Linked DNA regions of Tribolium castaneum. The protein of the gene in region 1 interacts with the protein of each later gene in a pairwise test. Links are inferred from orthologs where the notes say so. Each region holds a gene or a part of one and is shown on either strand. Other genes may lie near its edges.

What was found.
Region 2: the proteins of nuclear protein 1 (region 1) and Ran interact in a two-hybrid assay, tested with the Homo sapiens proteins (2 studies listed by BioGRID and IntAct). The link is inferred for Tribolium castaneum from reciprocal best matches to the Homo sapiens genes NUPR1 and RAN.
Region 3: the proteins of nuclear protein 1 (region 1) and RNA-binding protein cabeza interact in a two-hybrid assay, tested with the Homo sapiens proteins (2 studies listed by BioGRID and IntAct). The link is inferred for Tribolium castaneum from reciprocal best matches to the Homo sapiens genes NUPR1 and FUS.

Annotation. Positions count from the first base shown.
Region 1 is NC_087399.1:2,801,017-2,803,420, reverse strand, and holds nuclear protein 1, read left to right. Parts: upstream 1-1,427; 5' UTR 1,428-1,504; coding exon 1,505-1,702; 3' UTR 1,703-1,904; downstream 1,905-2,404. UniProt on the Homo sapiens protein: Transcription regulator that converts stress signals into a program of gene expression that empowers cells with resistance to the stress induced by a change in their microenvironment.
Region 2 is NC_087395.1:25,442,454-25,451,225, forward strand, and holds the start of Ran (GTP-binding nuclear protein Ran), read left to right. Parts: upstream 1-3,759; 5' UTR 3,760-3,891; intron 3,892-8,772. Other genes in the region: adenylate kinase 9, read right to left, coding at 1-1,021. UniProt on the Homo sapiens protein: GTPase involved in nucleocytoplasmic transport, participating both to the import and the export from the nucleus of proteins and RNAs. Switches between a cytoplasmic GDP- and a nuclear GTP-bound state by nucleotide exchange and GTP hydrolysis.
Region 3 is NC_087395.1:19,586,740-19,595,621, reverse strand, and holds RNA-binding protein cabeza, read left to right. Parts: upstream 1-3,869; 5' UTR 3,870-3,986; coding exon 3,987-3,996; intron 3,997-4,182; coding exon 4,183-4,356; intron 4,357-4,365; exon of another isoform or gene 4,366-4,444; intron 4,445-4,556; coding exon 4,557-4,661; intron 4,662-4,711; coding exon 4,712-4,769; intron 4,770-5,280; coding exon 5,281-5,309; intron 5,310-7,020; coding exon 7,021-7,139; intron 7,140-7,338; coding exon 7,339-7,609; intron 7,610-7,813; coding exon 7,814-8,162; intron 8,163-8,212; coding exon 8,213-8,258; 3' UTR 8,259-8,458; downstream 8,459-8,882. Other genes in the region: Ctl1 (choline transporter-like 1), read right to left, coding at 1-135, 189-356, 1,315-1,544, 1,593-1,759, 1,810-2,192, 2,240-2,347; MED19 (mediator of RNA polymerase II transcription subunit 19), read left to right, coding at 2,650-2,830, 2,883-3,139, 3,191-3,466. UniProt on the Homo sapiens protein: DNA/RNA-binding protein that plays a role in various cellular processes such as transcription regulation, RNA splicing, RNA transport, DNA repair and damage response. Binds to ssRNA containing the consensus sequence 5'-AGGUAA-3'.

The DNA.
Region 1 (2,404 bases):
ATCGTTAATATGTGGACATATGTCAGAAACAAAAATAATCGAACAGGTTTTGTTTGACCCAATTAGAGTTTTTAAAGAAAATCACAAAAATAAATTATTATTATTTCATTTCTGCAAAATCAGGTTTATTGTGACATCGGGGGAAACGGCTAAAATTACAGAAAAACGTAAAGTAGGGATTTGTACAGAAATAAATAAAACACAAGCGCGTAAAATGCTCGAATTTTGCAACGTAAGGTCTTGTTTGCATTAAATTTTTTCATCGTAAAACGGCAATAAACACGCTAGAAACATGGAAAATGTAATCTGTTTTTGCTTTAAAATACGAGCATATTAAACAAAATTCATTACTCAAGAAACAATAGCGAAAACTTTTGATTTTAAGTTTTTACATAAGTTTTAAAAAAACACTCAAAAATAGTAGTAATGTGCTAGGTTTTCACCGGTATAGTTTCTAACAATTAATTTTTTTCTTTTCTCGTATTAATAAAATTAAATCGAGAGAACTAGACAACCCGTTATATTTTTTTTACTTTAAGCTCCTTTTACTTAAACTGCATCAATTCCTTCGTAAATTGCTTTTTAATTTAGCATTTACTTACACAATCATCATTACTTACATCAAAAACATCTTTGGTTTTGAAACAGATAAAAAAATCTATAGAAATTCAAACCGTTATTCCAGTTCTAGAACACCTTTCAAATGATAATCTCGAATCTAATAATTGCTGTTCATTCTTTTCTAGAATAATCCAGAACGTTTCCTTTTATTTTTTCCAAGTAAACCAAAATTTATTTTTGCCTCCTGCTTATAATTAAGGAAGTGGCGGCTAGACATGTAAATATACATTTCTTGAAAGAAAAATTACTATTTGACGTGTAAAAATAGATCCTTATCGAAAGAAGATAAGCAGAAATGTGCAAGTTGATGTTAAAAACATGGTCACTGCAATCAATTATTTTTTCATCTCGTTCGATACTTTTTTCCCCGTGACCTTATTTTGTGAAGGTAATGATAACAAAAAATAACAATATTGCACAGAATTACGAAAAAATAATTTAGACGCAGTAAAAACAAGACTATCAGTAAAAAATTTATATTATAACCGTCAGCAAAAATATCATGGCCACATCAAGTTCACGTGGTGTATTGGTTGGCAATAAAATACAACAGAAAAACCCTAAGACGCCCACGCTAATTTAGAAAGTAAATAAATAAACAATGAAATAAATAAATGCGAAATCAAGGACAGGCGGCACCGAGTCGAGTTGACTGTTCCAAGAGTGAAAAAACCATTGTTCTGTCTTCAGATGCGCATATGATTAATTTTAATTAATTAAAAATTACTAATTTATGGTCAAGTCGGCGGAAATAGCGACTTTGTCGCTCGAGTTGGCAGCAGTGCGCGTGCGTCCCCACGGGTATAAAACCCAGGCGGCTGTGGCCCGCTTCAGTTGTTTGAATTGACGTTTGACAGTGAAAAAATCTCGTGCAAAAACCAAAATGTCCGAAGCTCATTTCGACGAATATGAACATTACAACTTCTTGTACGACAAGCACATCTACAGCGGCCACAGTGGCAAGCAAAGGAGCAAGAAGGAGGTCAGCGAGCACACGAACCACTTCGACCCCAGCGGACATTCCAGAAAAATCGTCACCAAGATGATGAACACGGAACAGAATAGAAGGGCGAAGCACTGATCTCGAATCCCCAATCTGTGATTTTCCAAAGACGTTCAGTGGCGAGTTTTGAGGATTTTGTGATTTTGTTTGACACCTCGGTAGAAGACATTGCTTTCATGATATTGTTGTGTTGATAGAAATGGTGTTGACGCGATGATTATATTAAATTATTGTTAGTTTTTCGAGTATTGTATTTTTTCAATAAATACTGTACACCTGATGTAGTGTTTTATTTTATTTGCGTTGGTAGACAACCATTGGAAAGTTTCCAGAAGGTTGGCGCGGGGCGGTAGAGGTGTGCGCAGGGTCAACGATTGCGCTTTGTTTGGTTTCTAATTATAGCAGGCCATGGACGTATCCGTTTTTTGTTTTTTTTTTAACTTTAATCTAGAAGAGATTTTTGAGCTGTTCTAGAAGTAAATTCCACTGTATAATGATGATGAAATAATTATTTGTAAAATTCGAAATCCGACAGTATTTATGTTAAAAATAAAAGAAGAAATCACTAGCTATTTCAGTTTTAAAACAAAATGAATAAAAACTTGAGATTTAATAGTAGGCGTTTAAAAGATTTTTTTTTCATTAACAAAACCATCAGACAATAGAAGTCATTTTGCCAAATTAACTTCTGTAACTTACATTATTCATCGTTGCCAACTTAATTTCAGTCACAGGCCACTTGAGCAAAAACTAATTGAATCCATGGCATTTTGGAATTTT
Region 2 (8,772 bases), on another chromosome or scaffold:
GCATATCGAGCGTATTTTTGGAATAAACGTCGTAAAAATAATTGTCCCGTTTCGTAATAACGTCGGAGTTTTTCCCGTAAATGTAAATGAGCAAGTACGGTTCGTGGAAAACGCCGAAAAGACAGTTTAGTTGTTTTTCCAAGTCGGTGGAAATGTCAGTTGGGCCACAAATCTGGTTTTCAATGCTCCACTCTAGAGACATTTTAAGGCCGCTCTCGTCCATCGATTGTGGGCCTTCGACTGATTCCTTCTCGGTTTGTTGCGAGCTTTCCTTGGACGAGGCGATCATTGAAACTTCAACTTTGTTCGAGAAATCGGTAAAACGGATTGTTTGGTCGATCAGTTCTTCGAAAATTTCTCGAACGTTGAAAATGGCAGATTCGGAGGAAATCGGGTCTTCTTCGTACAAGTCATTCGGGACTAGAGGAAAGCCACAGCAGACAAACCCTCGATGCAAAACCGCCGCAGTTTGGACTTTTTTAGTCAAAAGTCGCAACAAAATATCAATACCGACAGCTCGCCCACATCGCAAGTTAAACTCGATGCATTGTCCGGCGCGTGTCTCAAGCGCGATCTCCTCCTCAAGGAGGGTCAAAGGGTCGATGTAAACGCATTTCCAATACTCGGCCAAACGCCGCCCGATTTCCTCCTCGCCCATGCCAGGCTTGCCCAAAACCAGGAACGAAACGGGTTTTTTGCGCAAAAATTGTCGGTAGATTTTGCGGTCCGAGTACTCGTTCATTTCTCGATAAGTTAGTTCTTTATCGAGAGAGTCCATCGAACGTTTGGACTCGAGTAAATGACTTACACGAGCGTAAGCATCCACATCTTCGGTGAAAGGGTAGTAAGAATTGACGTAAGGGTACCATTCCCCAGCTGGTGGGGGAGAAATTTTTTGGTCTTCTTCGTATTTGACGCCAGGAAGGAAGCGAAAAAGACTTTTTTTGATGACTACTGTTTGGTCAGGTGTGATGTTGGTGAGGTGGTTGCGTTTGTGCACGTAATCGGAATCGTGCGACATTTTTAGTTTAGTTTAAAAGCGCAAACACCCAAAATGTTTAAAAATGTCAAGCAAAATATTGTCACTTTGTCACTTTGGCAGTGACGGGTATAAATAGTTAACCCAAGTTATTTTAATAAATTAATTTTTGATTTTTCGAAGTAAAAAAACTGATATAATATGTAAAATGAGCCGCAGAATTCAATAGAACAAACCGCATTGCTCTACGACTTTTAGTTTTTTTTTATGAATTTTTTTAGTGAAAAACTTTGATCGCCTCTGTAGCCGGAACCGTTGCCCGGAGCGGCTCCGGGTTTAATCGAAAAAATAGAGAAAATTAAGCGCTATCAGATGGTTTTTTGTTCGTTGCTCTAAGTCTTACAGTTTCCGAGAAAAACGCAAAAAAAGGTTTCCATTTTCACTTTTTTTCAATTTTCAATCGCCAATTACGGCGAAACTATTAAAGATATCGAGAAACGGAAAAATGGAGGATAACCGGAATAAAAAACTCTACAAAATGGCATAGGACTCGCAAAAAAATTTTCAATTTTCAAACGCCGATTACAGCCAAACTAAAAGAGCTAGGAGAAAACGCTTTTTTAGATCGAAAAGAGCACATCAAAATCTATAAGATAGGATCGATTTTATTTGATTTTGAGACACTTTTAAAATTAGCCATTTTGTGGGAAGGGGTGTTAATTTTTTTTTATTTTTTTTATTTTCTCAATTACGACTAAACTACTTGAAAAAGTGTAACTGTTTTAATCCATACTAATGCAAAATGATCTGGAGAATCGATTGGCATTGAGAAAATTGCCAAATTCTCAATAGTTTTTAAGTTATATTTTTTTTTTAATTCGACCAATTTTTGCTTTTATTTGCAATTTTCTCGAAAACTATTAGTCGGAGTACAATGATCTTTTTTAAAAAAGATGGATAATATAAAGAGCTTTCCAACGATAGTACACTTCATAGAGTTATCTCTCATAGTTCCGGAGTTATTGCTCGATAAATGTTCCGGGTACTCGAAATCAACCAAAATCGCGACAAAAATTGGAAAAATTAAACATAAAAAAATCGAACATATGAACTTTTTTTGAACTTTTAACAACTCTAGTGGATTGTTAAGATATATAAAAGTCCATAAAACTATGCTAGAGTGAGTTTAATTTTTTTTTTATGAAAGTATTTGCGTTGACCATTAAAATTTTAAGCAAAAAAATTCAAAATTTTAAATCTCGTAAAAACCCGGTATAATACGTAGAATGAGCCGCTTTGCTCTCAGACTAAACAATTCTTTTTAAATCGCAATAAAATTTTGCCAACAAAAAAATTTTCGGATTGGGAAAAATTGGTGAAGATACTTATTTTCATTGGGGTCGATGGTGCAGAAGGGGAAGTTTTCGGCGGCGGCCGAGCTCTTGGTGAGCACATTGAAGAAGGTGGACTTGCCGACATTGGGTATCCCGACGATACCGACCCTCAAGTTGGTGCCCACCCGCCCTATGAGCGGCTTTCTCTCCGGCTCTTGTACCTTTTTAGGTGGCATGATCTGCAACACGAGCAACAAGACCGAATTAAACCACCTTTTAGATAAGGTCACGAGTTGGCATTCTGCGCCTTTTTCGTCCATTTTCCGATATGCAAATCGTCGGTTATGCGTTCAAATAATAACACACATCACCGACTGCAACTTAATTTGCACAAAATAGCAATTTTCAATCTGATACCGAAATTGTAACTTAGGGACTTTGCAGAGCGTTCAGCATTTTTAAAAAAGCACTACATAATAATAAGCTCACCGTTCCATAGGCTACAATTTCGAATTTACCATCAATTCCTACTTTCATATTAATGTAATTTGCCACACAGCGCCCCAGGCCCTTAAATCCGCCGTTATAATTTCGAAATTTCGCTGATTTAATCAATTTTTTACTAAAACAAGAACCGTCTCAAATTTCAACCAAATTCGAAAACGCCGCGACCCGTCATCACGCAAACCACCGCCAGGTGGCGACAAGGACCCACACACGATTTAACCCACAAAAACATAATTCCCGCAAAAACGCGACTAAACATTACGCAAAACAAACTTTTTTGTCATCTAATCCCCAAATAAGCAAAACAACAGCGAGACATGAACCCGATCGGCCCAAAAAACACGTGAAAGTTGCATAACCTCAAAGCCATTCTGTCGTTTTTTACCGCAAGACAAAGCCATTAATCGGAATTTTTTTTACACCGATCCATTCATACACTCGCACTACTCACCTCGATAAGGTCTAAAAGTGTTTTTGTTAAAGAATCAGAAAAACTCACAACACTACACAATCACCGGTAACCTATATTTTGACAGATAAGCGATCTTTTTTTAGGTTCGACGCCCGGCTAAAAGGTGGGCAAAAAAATAAAATTTTGATTTGTTAGCACATTTTCCCAAACGAATCATTCACTAATTATTGATTACTAATTAAAAAAAAACCTGATTATAAAATATCTGTAGCTCCCCCCCAAGCAGGTGTTACTCAATTGTTTAAATGCAAAATTCCCAAGGACACTTTCAACCCCTCAACTAATTAATTATTTTCTCATTAAATCTCTACGGAATTGTAAAAAAAAATATTTGGACAAAGTTGGGTAAGACCTACGAAGAACTCTTAAGACAAAATATATTTTTTATTAATGAATTAATTAAATTTGTTCCTGATCGACGTTCGATCGTTTTTTGTTTTAAATAAAAAATCCCCAAATGCAAATTTGACAACTTGACATTTGCAATTATTTGTTTGTGTGAAAAGTGGGACAAAAATGCAAATTTGAGGTGAAAAAGTGTGTTTTGTGCCAAAATTTCGTGTTTACTGAGTCTCTGGTCCTTCGCTGTGTGTGCTTTGGTGAGTGAAACTCAAAAAAAATTAGTTATAATGAACCCGGCTTTTAACAGACGCTCGGATATAACAAACAAAATTATAAGTCCCGTTTTAAAGTCCTATACCTATTGTAGTAACAAACTGGTTCGGTTTTAACGAACAAACAAACATCACTTTTAACGTCCAATATTTAGGCAAAAATACAGTGGCGTCCGTTTATAACGAACCCATTCATAACACACTTGATTGAGTTGTTGCTGAATTAACGCATAGGAAAGGTAAAATCTTGGCCATTTTCGACCAAATCTGGTGATTTTTTCGTTCCACTTTAATAAAAACAGGAAGAAAACCTTGATTTTTGGTCTAAAAACATGTTAAAATTCTCAGAACTTGCAAAAATAATGTCATTTTTGACATAAGTCTTTGATTTATTGAGAAATTTTGCACAATAATGAAGTTTTTGCTGAATAAACGCTTAGGAAAGATAAAATCTTGGTCATTTTCGACCAAATCTGGTGATTTTTTCGTTCCACTTTGATAAAAAACGAAAGGAAATTTTGATTTTTGGTCTAAAAATGTGTTTAAATTTTCAGAACTTGTAAAAATAATGTCATTTTTTACATAATTCTGTGATTTATTGGTTTACTTTTTAAGAAATTTTGCGCAATTATTGAGTTTTTGCTGAATAAACGCTTAGAAAAGGTAAAATTTTGCTGATTTCCGACCAAATTTGGTGATTTTTTCACTTTAGTTTAAGAAAAACATGAAGAAAACCTTGATTTTTGCTCTAAAAACGTGCTTAAACTTTCAGAACTCGTCATTTTTGACATAATTCTGTTATTTATAATTGAGTTATTGCTGAATAAACGCCTAGGAAAGGTAAATTTCTGGTCATTTTCGACCAAACTCTAAACTCGGACTTATCGGACTTATTTGCCTTATTATCATAATATGTAATATTTTTTAATAAGTCTATTTATACTTTATTTCCTGTATCTATTCCAAACTTTGGAACTCCTTTAACTTGAAAATTGTTCTTTGGGTGTTCGTTATGACCGCGTTCCACTGAATTGTTGATTTTGCTATTGCCCACCTTGTGTGTTTGCGCCAAGTAGAAAATTGCGAAAATTTGTTTGTTTGCGAGTAAATGCGTCTTAGAAATAGTATAGAATTACGTATTCCGGAGCAGTTGATTTCCATTTGGGTCCCGGAGCATAGAATGAGCATCGAATCGCACAATTACCGTATGAAGACATCAAAGCGATCGGAAAGCTCACAGGTTATTCAGGAAACCGCAATTGTTGCAAGTGAAGTGCACAAAAGCTTCACCTACAATAGCATTCGCCACATCCGGAATGTCGTAGCTTTTGGTCCTCTGTGTCGTCGTCGATATAATAAAGTATTGCGTTACTCTTAGCCTCGCCGACAGGAAACTGCAAACGTTATTCTGTCATTTTACGAGCCAGCATTTCAAAAAAGCCCATTCTTTGCAAAACATGTTCATTGGACGGGGGCCCTTGGGCCGCTGCCAAGCCTAATTCGCCATAAAAGTAATGAGTCGCTGCCTCATGATATACATTGTCAAAGAAATAAAAGTTTCTGCCTTTGGGGGCCAAATCAAGACCCGGCTCGCTCTTTTATCACTATAATCAGGCCGCCAGCGCCAAGATGGCCAACATCTCGACCACCACGTGAACAATAAGACGGCTCTGATTTTATAAAACTTTTCGGAAAAATTGCGATTTTTTTTTGTTTGAACGAAGCAACTTCCGAGGGTGCTTCCGGTGCACTGTGTGGCACGGGGCGCGATGCAGCTGTGGGGGGCGGAACGAGACCCGCCGCCGGAGAGGACGTCACCTCCTCTAACACATGGTCGCGTCACAATGTGACGGCTTCTTGTTATTTTATATCGGTAAATGTATTAGCGGAGATGGACGGCCTACTCGTTTCATTGCGACAGGGGTGGACACGCGCCCTTGTTTGCCCCAAACAGACCCCCACGAGAGCGACAACAGTATGGAAAAAAATCTTATTCAATTGTACGAAAATGTGTGCTCACAAAGATGGGACTAAATACTTTCGAGAGATCTTTTTTGAAAACATATTAATCTTCAAATCTCGCTTTAAACCGATTTTTTTTTTGTAATCACAATTTGAGAAACGAAAGGACTCGAAGCAGAAGAGGCTTGTTGATTGGTAAAGTCATAAAACAACAGAAGGTACTAAAATTTTATGAACTGTTGCTCTTTTCGAGCCCTGAAGCCCTTTTTCCACAAGGTTTTGCTAAACCGAACCGAAAAATTAGAAAATTAGATGGAAAACGATTACTTTTTGCTTTTTATGAACTAAAAACTCAGTTTTTTTAATTTTGCTAATGTAAAAATAATAAAATTTTTATTGCAATTTTGACTTTAATTTAATTAAAAGTAACATTATTTATAGGTACATGCGTTTGGTGTGAGAACGATCAGAACTTTTTGATATTTCGGAATTTTTTAAGACGAGCTCACCTAATAATTTAATTGCCTCATTAATTTCAGCAAGTTTTCCAAATTAGAAGTTATTAAAATTGTAAGCTTAGTTCATGGTATTTAAGGTGACAGAACCAGATTTTCATAAATAATTGTCTTCTTTAGGCATTTGAGCACATTTTTAAGTTAAAATTTATAGAAATTTTTTAGTAGATTCTTCTAAATCAAGGTGAGAAATCAATTTTCTCAGCTTTTTTTGAGGGTTTTTGCATGTTTTTCAGAGCGCACCGCAAATATTTCGATAAGATTCTCAATAATAACTCGAAATATCAGAAAATTTTGTGGAAAATGAAGCACTGTTTTAAGTTAAAGCCATAATTTTTCTGTAAGATTTCGCTGGTATTTATGTAAGATTATGAGTGTAATTTACTCAAAAATATTCTCGATGAGAGAGCTATAGGTAATAGATAATATTCTACATTAAATTATGGCTGCACTTAAGTCAAATATAATTTTTTAAACGTTTGCTAGGAATTTATTTTCGAGAGACTTTTACTAAATCATGTTGAAATGTCACAACTTCCTCAGCTTTTTTTCGAGCGTTTTGCATTTTTTTGAGACAGCAACGCAATTATTTCGTTAAGATTCTTAACAATAACTCGAAATATCGGAAAAATTTGTCAAAAATGTTGTTATTTTTTTGTTTTATATAAGTGTAATTTACTCAAACATTTTTTTAACCTTCTCGATAAAGGAATTAGAGTTTTATTAATTCTTGCTTTTTTCGAGCATTTGGGCATGTTTTCGAGCTGAAAAATCACGTTTATTGTTTTTTTTTCAATGTTTTGCACGTTTTTGAGATCTCAACGCAATTATTTCGAGAATTTTTCTATGAAAAATCAAAAAATTATGTCAAAAATAGTATTATTTTTCCCTCTTTTCAACGTCTAGTAAACACTTTTTCGAAATTAAGATTTCGAACGGCTAGTGCATTTTTTAGGCAGAAAAGCACTTTTTATTTGGATTTATTTTTCTTAATAATAGCTGGAAAAATTAGAGAAGTATTTTGGAAATGGCTTTATTCTTGCCTTTTGAACTAAAGACCCAGTTTTTCTGTGAAATTTCTTTGTGAATCCTTTTAAGTATAATTTGGAGAAACAGATTTTCTATAAGTTAGTTAAAGTGCCAGTACATCTCAACTTTTTTCAGTATTTGTGGTTTAAAAGGGTCACATTGCCTATAACGAATTAAGTAATAACATCACTTCTCTGTAAGAGTTCTTTCTTGGATGCTTTAATCAGTGATATGTTAATCACAGTTGATTTAATTAATTTGAAAATTTAGTCAACAGGTGTTGAAAGAATGCGATTTTATCGCAAGCCCGCCTTTTACGGCCGATTACAATAATCCTCGTGTCAGAACGGCCGTTTAGGTGGACATGTGTCAACAAAACTCCCTTGGAGGTCTGAACCTTCGTCTGCTTAGTTAGTTACACTTTAAAAAATGAGATTTCGAGGCGCCAATGCGGCAACTTTGACCGACATTTGACGGCTCCTTTGAAACTAATATCCCCTGCTCGTTCTCTCACTCGCACCGAAAAAAAAATCCACGACTGATGTCCAATATGAAACACAATCGTTAATTACAAAAAGGTTTTAATTAAGTTAATTCACTGATCAAAGCATTCTTCCCATATAATTACGGATAATGTGCAGGTTGTAACACGATTATTTATATGCTATTAACGTATCTGTGGAGCAGAAAAATCTAATTGTCAGCACATAAAAGGAAATTTTAATTAGCGAAGCGCGTACCGAATTGATGGCGGATTATTTCGCATTTGAGTGGACGCCCATACACGTACGCAACTAATACGTGCCTCATTTACTTTATTTTTGAGCTTAATAATGGATTATTAGCATTTAGCTGCGATTTTTTACCTAGAGTTTCTTGCATTTTGGTGGTATTTTTTCGTTTCGGGGCGGCAAAAATGGCAAATCGGTAATTACAGGAAAGTGTCGGCGCCATTGCAGCTGAAATTCGCTCATTAATCGCTCGGATTTGATCCAAAAAGTTCGCGTGATGTTGCCGTAATGGCAGATAATTACACTTTCAAGTATTCTCTTAAATTCCTCGCAGTTACGCATTTGCAATGCAAAAATACGAAACGGAACGATTTCCCCTTCGCTTAATTACCTTATTCCCTTAATAAGCGCCCATCATAATAATTCCCTCCCGCCTCGGTCGTCGGTATAAATATTTTCAGTGTGAGCGTTAATAGTAATTTATTTAGACAATTAGTCGCTTAATTAACGAATCGTGTCTTCTAAACGTACTATTACAACTTAATTCAAACGGGCTTTTGTCATGATATGGAAATTACGAGTTTGTACCGGGAAAAATAAGTTTTTTAGGATGGTATAGTTTGTGTATA
Region 3 (8,882 bases), on another chromosome or scaffold:
AAGGAATTTTTCGGTTAAAGAAATGTTGCCCAACTTGGCCACCGGTTCCGTATGGCTCACAGGGGTGGTGAAGGACTCGTTAGAAAAGCGATTGATTCGGGAGGTTCCAGGGTAGTAAGCCGTAGCCAAGCATAACTGGAAGTTTTTTTATTAATTTAACTACGAAAACTGGTGAACGTGGGACGTACCACAACGAAAATCCAAAACATGAAGAATAAAACGAGGATTATAAATGTTAAAATCGGTTGCAAAAACAGAGCCGGGAGGTGGAGTAAACATTTGGACGTTTCTTTGAACAAGTCCGACAAAAAATTGACTTGTTTTCGCATCACAGCAACAATTAATAAAATTATGACCTAAAAACAGCTATTTTTCTGAAGTTGTCCGCAACGAGGACGAAATAACGAATGTTACGTAAGCTTTGGAAAAAGTTTTTCAATTCTTTAAAATAAGTACAAGGGTTTCTTAAAGATGTTGCCAAACTTTTTTGTATAACGACTTCTACCAGGGTTAAAGCAGTTAATACCGAGAGTTGTTATTGAAAGTCTCAATAACAAAAATTTTATGTGGGCTTTTGAACACAATATTATATGAATTATTATTATTATATATGAATGGGAAGCTTGAAAAGCAGCACAACTAAGACGCAGAATATATAACAAAAGATAAGAAAAGTTAACATAAACACCGTCCAAAAAACACAATACGTTACACAAAAACTGTACCATTATTTTAGATGTAGATTTAATTTGCATAAATGTACCTAAAGTAAAAAAATCCCAAAACTTACATAGCACACGTAACCCACAACAGTCCGTAAAATAGTATTTTTCGGCACTGAAATCCCCGTAGTTATAAATATGAGTAGTCAGTACAGACAAGACAAGATAGTCCATAAAGTGTATTATGTAGAGCAGCGTTATGTTATAAGTGTTAAAAAATATATTTCAGTGTCAAGATAATTCCTCAAATCATGTAAATTTTAAAACATTTTGCAAATGACATTATACACATTAGGAACAATCCTTGTTAACTTCACTTTCTATTACAAAAAACTTAATTCTATAGAATAAGCTCCCAATGGTATTACGTTCAAATTCACCTTGTATCGTAATCAATGAAAAAAATTAAGTGTTAGAAAATGAAAATAAAGAAGGTACATTTTAAACTATATGGGTCGGTTTGCAGGCTGATTCTCGATTTCGTTAGAAAAGTATGTATTCCACTACTTTACGGACTATTTTGAGTTATTTTACAGGCTATTTCGTTCACTATATGAACGACATCCCGATAAGTTTTAATTATTTCTCTTACTGTGATAACGGTGGCGATGATTGAGTACCACAAAAAGGCCGTTTCGTTGCGAATTGACTCCATCAAAAGCATGTGTTTGTTCGTCTTATCCAAATCATACTTAATATCAAAATAAGTGTACCACAAAAACGCTGTGCCCAAGATGCTCGCAATTGTGAACAAAATCATGATTATGTACGACACTAAATGGGCCAGTAGATGCAGTATTGAGATAGTTAACAGCGAAAAAACTGAAAATCAAACTGTACAAATTTTCCTGTGACTATCCAAAGGCTCACATAGTGATAAAAACGTTAAATAAAGGATTTCCTTCCAGGTGCTGTATATGTCGCCCAAAATTTGCTCAAGTGTGTCCCAACTGTTCAAAGCTTCGTAAAAATTGCTCAAAATTGCTTCGCCTGCATCTTGGAATGATTTAGGAACGCAACGGTTGAGAACTGGGGTGCTTTAGAAAACCAGTTTTATCTTTATAGAACACAAGTTTAGGGGAAATACCTTTCGTAAATAGGAAGTGCCGGACACGGCCCTAAATAGCTACTCAGAATCTCCTTATTCGCAATACTCTTGTTCTTAAAATCGTCATAATTAAAATCATATCTACACAAACTGACGCCAGTTTTTTGGTAATATTTCTGGATATCTTCAACTTTTTTTAACGTCTCCGTGGGACACTGTTTTACGCATATCTTCAGCGACTGTTTCAGCTCTTTAATATCGTAGAAGAGCAAAAATTGTTTGTCTGAAGTGTCCAGTCCTGATACTTCCAAATTGGACATTTTTCTGTTATTTTTTGTCCCGCAAATGTTCCCAAATGAGTCATAGCCGTTTATAATTCTGATGGGATTGCCGTAGACAAAGGAGAACGCCGCAATTAAAACCTAAAAATATTAATGAGGCAAATTACACACCAATCAAGGTTATTTACCATTAGTAACCAAAACGCAATGTACAAACACAACCAAAACACGTCGGTGCACCCTCTCTGAGCGGGTTCTTCCCGCTCGGGCTCCTTTTTCGACTCGCAACAACCCATTTTCGTTAACTCAAACCACTTTTTTCACAAAAGACGCATGTTTTCACTGAGAAAACCAGCAATGTTTTGGGGGCGGCGGCTTCGACGCGGTATCTTAGCAACAGTAACAATTGCACAATCTCGCCAACCAAACTAAACCTAAAGTTACCAAACTAGCAGGGTTCCAAACGCCAGACCGTGAAAATTACCAGGGTAACAATTGATTTGTTTGTTTGTTTGACGATTTTGTGTTGGTACGTGATGCTGAAGTGACATTTCCCATTTCCAGCTGCATCGTTGTTGCAAAACGATGAAGTTGTAAGATGATGGGCGATCAGTTTCGTAAAGTGGAACAATATTCGCCCAAATCTTCGCCTAGAGGGGCTCGTTCCCCTGTCGTTTCACGTCAGGATTCGTCAGGAACATTAAAAACGACAATTTTGTTAGGAAAGAACCCTTCAATTGTCCCTAGTGGACCTTTCTATTTGATGAAAGAGCCTCCAGGTAAGCAAGACAAGGCTTGAAGTCGTTTAAATCACGCGGACGGTGGTTGTAGGAGAGTCGGAACTAACAGGAGCGACGAATTTGATGGCCTATTATGGCCTTGAGCACTCTTACAGCAAATTCAGTGGGAAAAAACTCAAGGAACAGTTATCTTCGTTTTTGCCAACTTTGCCTGGCGTTATTGACTCTCCTGGACAGCATGATAACAGTTCGCTAAGATCAGTGATTGAGAAGCCTCCAATTGGGGGCAAGGAGTTGTTACCATTGACTAGCATCCAACTGGATGGGTTTAGACTACACCCTGGGGCGGTAAGCTTGATAATTTCCCTTTAATGTGTTTTGTTGAGTATTGGATTTTAGCTCCCTGAACAATACCGCTACGCAAATGCGGCGCCTATGAAAAAGCATAAAAATAAACACAAAAAACACAAACACAAAGATGGGGGGCTTCCAAGTCAGGAGACTACCATTACCGATGCTGGAAGTGATACACACGAGAAGAAGCATAAAAAACAGAAACGACACGACGAAGATAAAGAACGGAAGAAGAGGAAAAAGGAAAAGAAGAGAAAAAAGCAGAAACACAGTCCTGAACACAGTGGGGGCCTAACGCCCAGCCAACACTCAAATTCGTGAAGATCTTTGGATTGTGAATAATTCCAACTTACCCTAGGTTTAAGATCTATTATTATTTATTGTTTATTATTTTTGAAAATAAACAGACTGTTATTTTTATTAAGTTTTTACTGGTCGTTTTAGCAAAGCTAGCACCACTAGATTAATTAAATTCATGATTATCAAAAAATAATAAATTTGAGGGCCTACAAATGCCCTTAGGCCGACCCTGAACTCTGATAAGGTTTTCAGTGCTGCCACAACAAGTTCTCCAGCTGTGTTTCATACAAACTTATTATTACAATTTATATCCATCACAAATGTTGTTTTTAAGTACCTCGACGGTATTCAAGTGGAACTGAGAATATAAAACAAGGTTGTTTGTGGAAAATTTAATATTTTGGCGTGCTTTATTTAGTGTGTTTTTTTGGTGGGGTTGGCAGGGCTGTTAGCGCCGACCAATCACAAGCCCCCAATCCGTAGCGTCTTTTCCCTCGCATCCATTTTCCTCCTGTTTGTTCGATTATCCCAACGGTAGAAGATGGGCGATCGTAAGTATCCCGATTTTTAAAAAATCTCGCTCATCCCTGTACGAAATCACCTCGTGTATTCAAATTTCGACTACTTAACACATTACGAAGTTGTGGTAGTTCGCATTTTTCACGTCGGCTTGCTCTAATTTCATTATTATCGATTTTTCGTTATTTGGGTAATTTATGTACAAACCACTTTTGCAGGATCGTACGCCGACTATTCCCAACCGCCCCCCAGTACTGCGTATCCCAATACGTACGGGGCACCGCCGACCGGCGGTTTCAACCCCCCGGGCGGGGGAGGTGGAGGTGCCGGCGGCGGCGGCGGATCTTGGAATCAAGGACGCTCGTCTGGCGGCGGCTATGGCGGCGGTCAAGGTAAGAAACAGTGATGTGGGGCGACATAGGCATGGTTTGAGTTTGTTTAATAAACTTGAAACCTCCTACTATGTCGCAGAATAATTAGGGAATTGATAGTCCCTTCTTATCTTGATATGAGAAGGGGTAGACATTCGCCTATACATTACTTTTGAAAGAATTGTTTTGTTTTTTTGCTATACTACCGTCAATTGTTCCAGGTGGCGGCGGCGGTTATAACCAAGGAGGTGGTTACAACTCTGGCGGAGGCGGTGGCTACGGCAATAGTGGCGGTTATGGCGGCGGCGGTGGTGGCGGCTATGGAGGTACATTCATAGTTTTGTGTGTTGTTTGTAATTAATTATTTTTGGTTTAGGAGGCCGAGACCGTGGCGATTTTGACAAAAGGCCTCTAGATCGACGTGATTCTTATGGGTAAGTTATCGGTTTTTGTTCTTTTACTTTGTTGGTATTACACTTTGGATGGGAGGTAGTAAAATGATAAAAAATGAATGAATGGGTATTTATTGTCAAAGAATCGTTGAAACTGTATTAATATCAGTTTGCTTACAGAGTTTAAATAGTGTAAGTATTTTGTTGTAATACACACGTCTGTGTTTGTTGTTGGTGGCCGAAAATGGCCGTTAAAACTTGAGTTAAATTATAACAGGTGGTTTTTCCTGAGGTATTTATTTTTGGTACGGTCCTTAAAGGTTGAGTTGGTTGTTACTACAATTAAATGGTTGTTATGTTATTGAGGTGTATAATAAAATCTTTGAGAGTTTAAAAATAAGGTAAACATCGTACATAGACGTGACAACAACTAGAAATAGGTGATCTTCGTGGATGAAGACAATGTGTATGCCAACAAAATGGTTGGTGAAGTGTGTGTTTTTCACCCCCCTCCATTCTCTCGACAACTACTGATGTTTTACTTCTGTTTTAGAGGCGGCAACAGGGGTGGTTATAACAAAGGTAAAAGCACTGAGTCACTGTGACCAGTGCATTTTTGTACACTTTTTAATTGGTATTTTTATTGGTTTTTGGAAGAGCTGCATTATTTTTATTTACGTTTTATAATTTCCCACACATTTTGATTATTTGGTGTTCCATTATTGGACTTGTTTCAAAACTTAGACCCGCGATTATAATGTGAATACTAAATAATCATACGTAAACAGCTCTTCCACTATTCACCTGCGAATGTTAGGGTGCGTTGCTATAATTGACAAGTTGTTTATCTTCGAAAAGTGTTGCAACATTTCATTGTTTCCTCTTTGCTGATTAGGTAACTTCTTTCGTATTTGCAATTTTTTGTACATTTATACAAAAATATAAAGCATTGGAGTAACTTACAAAATCATTACAGAAAATGTTTATTAGAAAATCTTTGGGTTTCGATTGGTCAAGTTTTTATAAAGAATTTTAAACGTCAGTTGCGATTCTAATATTTCTTATTATTATTATTATTATTATTTTTTTATTAGATATGGTTGTTAACATTGATACTTTATTATTTTCTTTTTCGCAAATTTTAAAAATTTGAGTAATTAATGTTTTGTCAGTAACCTTTAGATGTTCTCAAAGAAAATCTTTGGTCCATTTGATTAAATCTAGTTTTTGGATTAGTTTTATAGGTGGTTTTAAGATTTATATTTAGTATCTCCTTCTATTTTCATTGGCGTTTGAAAAAGAAAGGTCTTATTGAGTACATTGTTTTTTATTGATAGAGTAAAGGTAAAAGAATACATAATAGTATTTTTCTCGTGTACAGGGTGATTCAAAAGTCTCCGACTATATATCGTTTAGATGGTGATGAATACATCCAACTAAGCTAAAAGTTCCTATGACAAAAAAAATTGTGATCCTTTTTTTCTTCACTAGATATAGCTTTTTACAAAGTTATATCTTTGGGTTAAGATGAAGTAATCTTAAATCTCTCGAGAGATTTTATAAAATTAGATAATTATTGAAAAAATTCTCTACCTATAATACGTATAAAACATTTATAATTTACCAAATTTAAGAATGAATTCAACAATATGGGAAAGAAATGCGCAAGAATTAATACGGTTGCTAAGGAAAAAGAAATACTAAGAATTAATACGGTTGCAAAAAAAATTGATTATTATGCTTAACTGAACGTCTTTTATCACCCTGTAAGAGTTAATCCTTCATTTTTTAATCACCCTGTTATACATCGGGATTTCAAAAAGTTACGAATGGTTTTATGAGGTACTATGATTTTAATATATATATATTAAAGGTAAAAGGATAATAAAGTTTTTCCTTTTATATTCATTGGTATTAAATAAAAAGGTTCTATTGGGTATATTGTGATACGTATTTGACAAATTTCGATTGAGGAGTACTTTTAATGCTGTCCGTTTGAGCGCTAAGTGCATACTTTATTTTTTGTAGAAGGTTTTTTTCTTCATTGCGTGGTAAAATGGCATCAAAAACGCAATGGTCTTAAATTAAAAAATTGGTATTTATTTCAAGGTGCGTTATGGTCAAGTTTAAGGTTTATTCAGAGTGAGAGAGTAAGAGAAAAGGTATATAGTATTGTTTTTACACACCATAAGATGTGAAACAGTTTTTGAGAACTGAGTTAGTTGGCGCAACAATTAATTTTAGTAAAATTATTATTTTTCACCCTTGACATCATTTTCGTATTAATTTCCAGATAATGGCGGCGGCAGTAACTTGGTGGTTCAAGTCGACACGATTTTTGTGTCTGGAATGAATCCAAATCTCACCGAAGACGAAATTGCTCAACATTTTGGTTCGATTGGCGTGATTAAAGTAAGTATTTGACTAAACTCAGCGACCTGCACTCTGTGCTTGGATTCACTTTCTTGACCAAGTTCAATTTTGATGTGTCGCAATATTATGACAGATGCTATTCCTTGATTGCAAGAAATATTTGCAAACAAGTGTATTCAATCTGCTACAAAGAATTCCATTTTTGACAAATTTGAAATGATTATTTCGTTCCGATTAGATGGACAAGAAAACCCAGAAACGGAAGATTTGGTTGTATAAAGATAAACAGACCGGACTTTCAAAGGGTGAAGCCACTGTTACGTATGACGATTCCAATGCAGCTCAATCAGCAATTTCTTGGTTCGACGGGAAAGAATTCGGTGGTACTCAAATAAGGGTACAGTTGGCCACGAAAAAGGATAATTGGAGTGGCGGTGGCGGCCGCGGAGGTGGAAGAGGTGGCGGCCGCGGGGGCGGTTTTGGAGGAGGCCCAAGAGGCCGAGATGGAGGTACGTGAGTTTGCAATTTTTTTAAAAGAAATTAATACCCCTTCCGACCCAGATTTGTCTAAAATAGGCCAAAATCTGTTTTTATTTTAAGGGGCAGATTAATTCCCCATTAAACACACAGTAGCAGTTTGGTTGCTTCTGATGTATCCTGTCTAGGGAAACATTTTTTTTATTTGATTGGCAAACAATAATTGTTTGGTATAGGTTTCGGCGGTGGTGGTGGAGGCGGTAGCGGCGGCGGCGGTGGTGGCGGTGGCCGAGACCGCGAAAGCCGCGAAGGAGACTGGAAATGTCCAAACCCAGACTGTGGCAACACAAATTTTGCTTGGAGGAATCAGTGCAATAGATGCAGTGAAGATAAGCCGGAAGGTGCCGGTTCCGGGGGTGAAGATCGCAGAGGAGGCGGCGGCGGAGGCGGTAGAGACCGTGACCGTGGAAGAGATAGAAGAGGTGGTGGCGGCGGTTTCCGCGGTGGTGATCGAGGAGGTCGCGGATTTGGCGGTGGAAGAGGAGGCCGAGGCGGTTTCGGCGGCGGTCGAGGAGGAGGCGGAAGGTATTTGTGACAAAATTTGGTGTAGGAAAGATTTTAATTTTGATGTTTAGGGATCGTGGCGGCGGTCGCGATGGAGGACGTTCCAGGCCGTATTAGAAGATTTTTTCCAAATAGATTCATGAGTGTTTTATTTCCATTACAGTATCATATTCATTTCAGTTTTTATAAGGTGATCTATAAGATTTAAAGCTTTGTGTTTTCTAGTAATTACACAACACGAGAAGTTGAGTGGTCACGAGTATGGCATGTTTAGTGAATAATTATTTTATGTATAATACATTTTTAAGTACAAATTACTTTTTGTTATAGTATGACCTTTCCTAATTCCATTTTCCTGCAAAGTCAAAAAATAACTCATAAACAACTTTTTTCTTCAAAACTTCACAATAACGAATTTTTAATAAATGGTATCTGGCGATTAACTGTTTCAAGATTATAAAAACGCCAACGTCGCATTTTACCGAATTATTTCTTTAAATAAGATTCACAACATTGTAAAATGGTTATTGGGGATTAGATCTCTCATTGAAGGTATAAATTAACATTAGCTATTATTTTTTTGAAATGCATGAATAATTTATAACAGCTAATTTTGAGAGAAAATACGACGTTGGCGTTTTTATAATTTTGAAACGGCCAATACGCTGTCTAACAGTCGTGATCGCAATAGATTTTGATCAACAATAAAATAAGTATTTTTGGAACGGTTTCCTAGGAAAT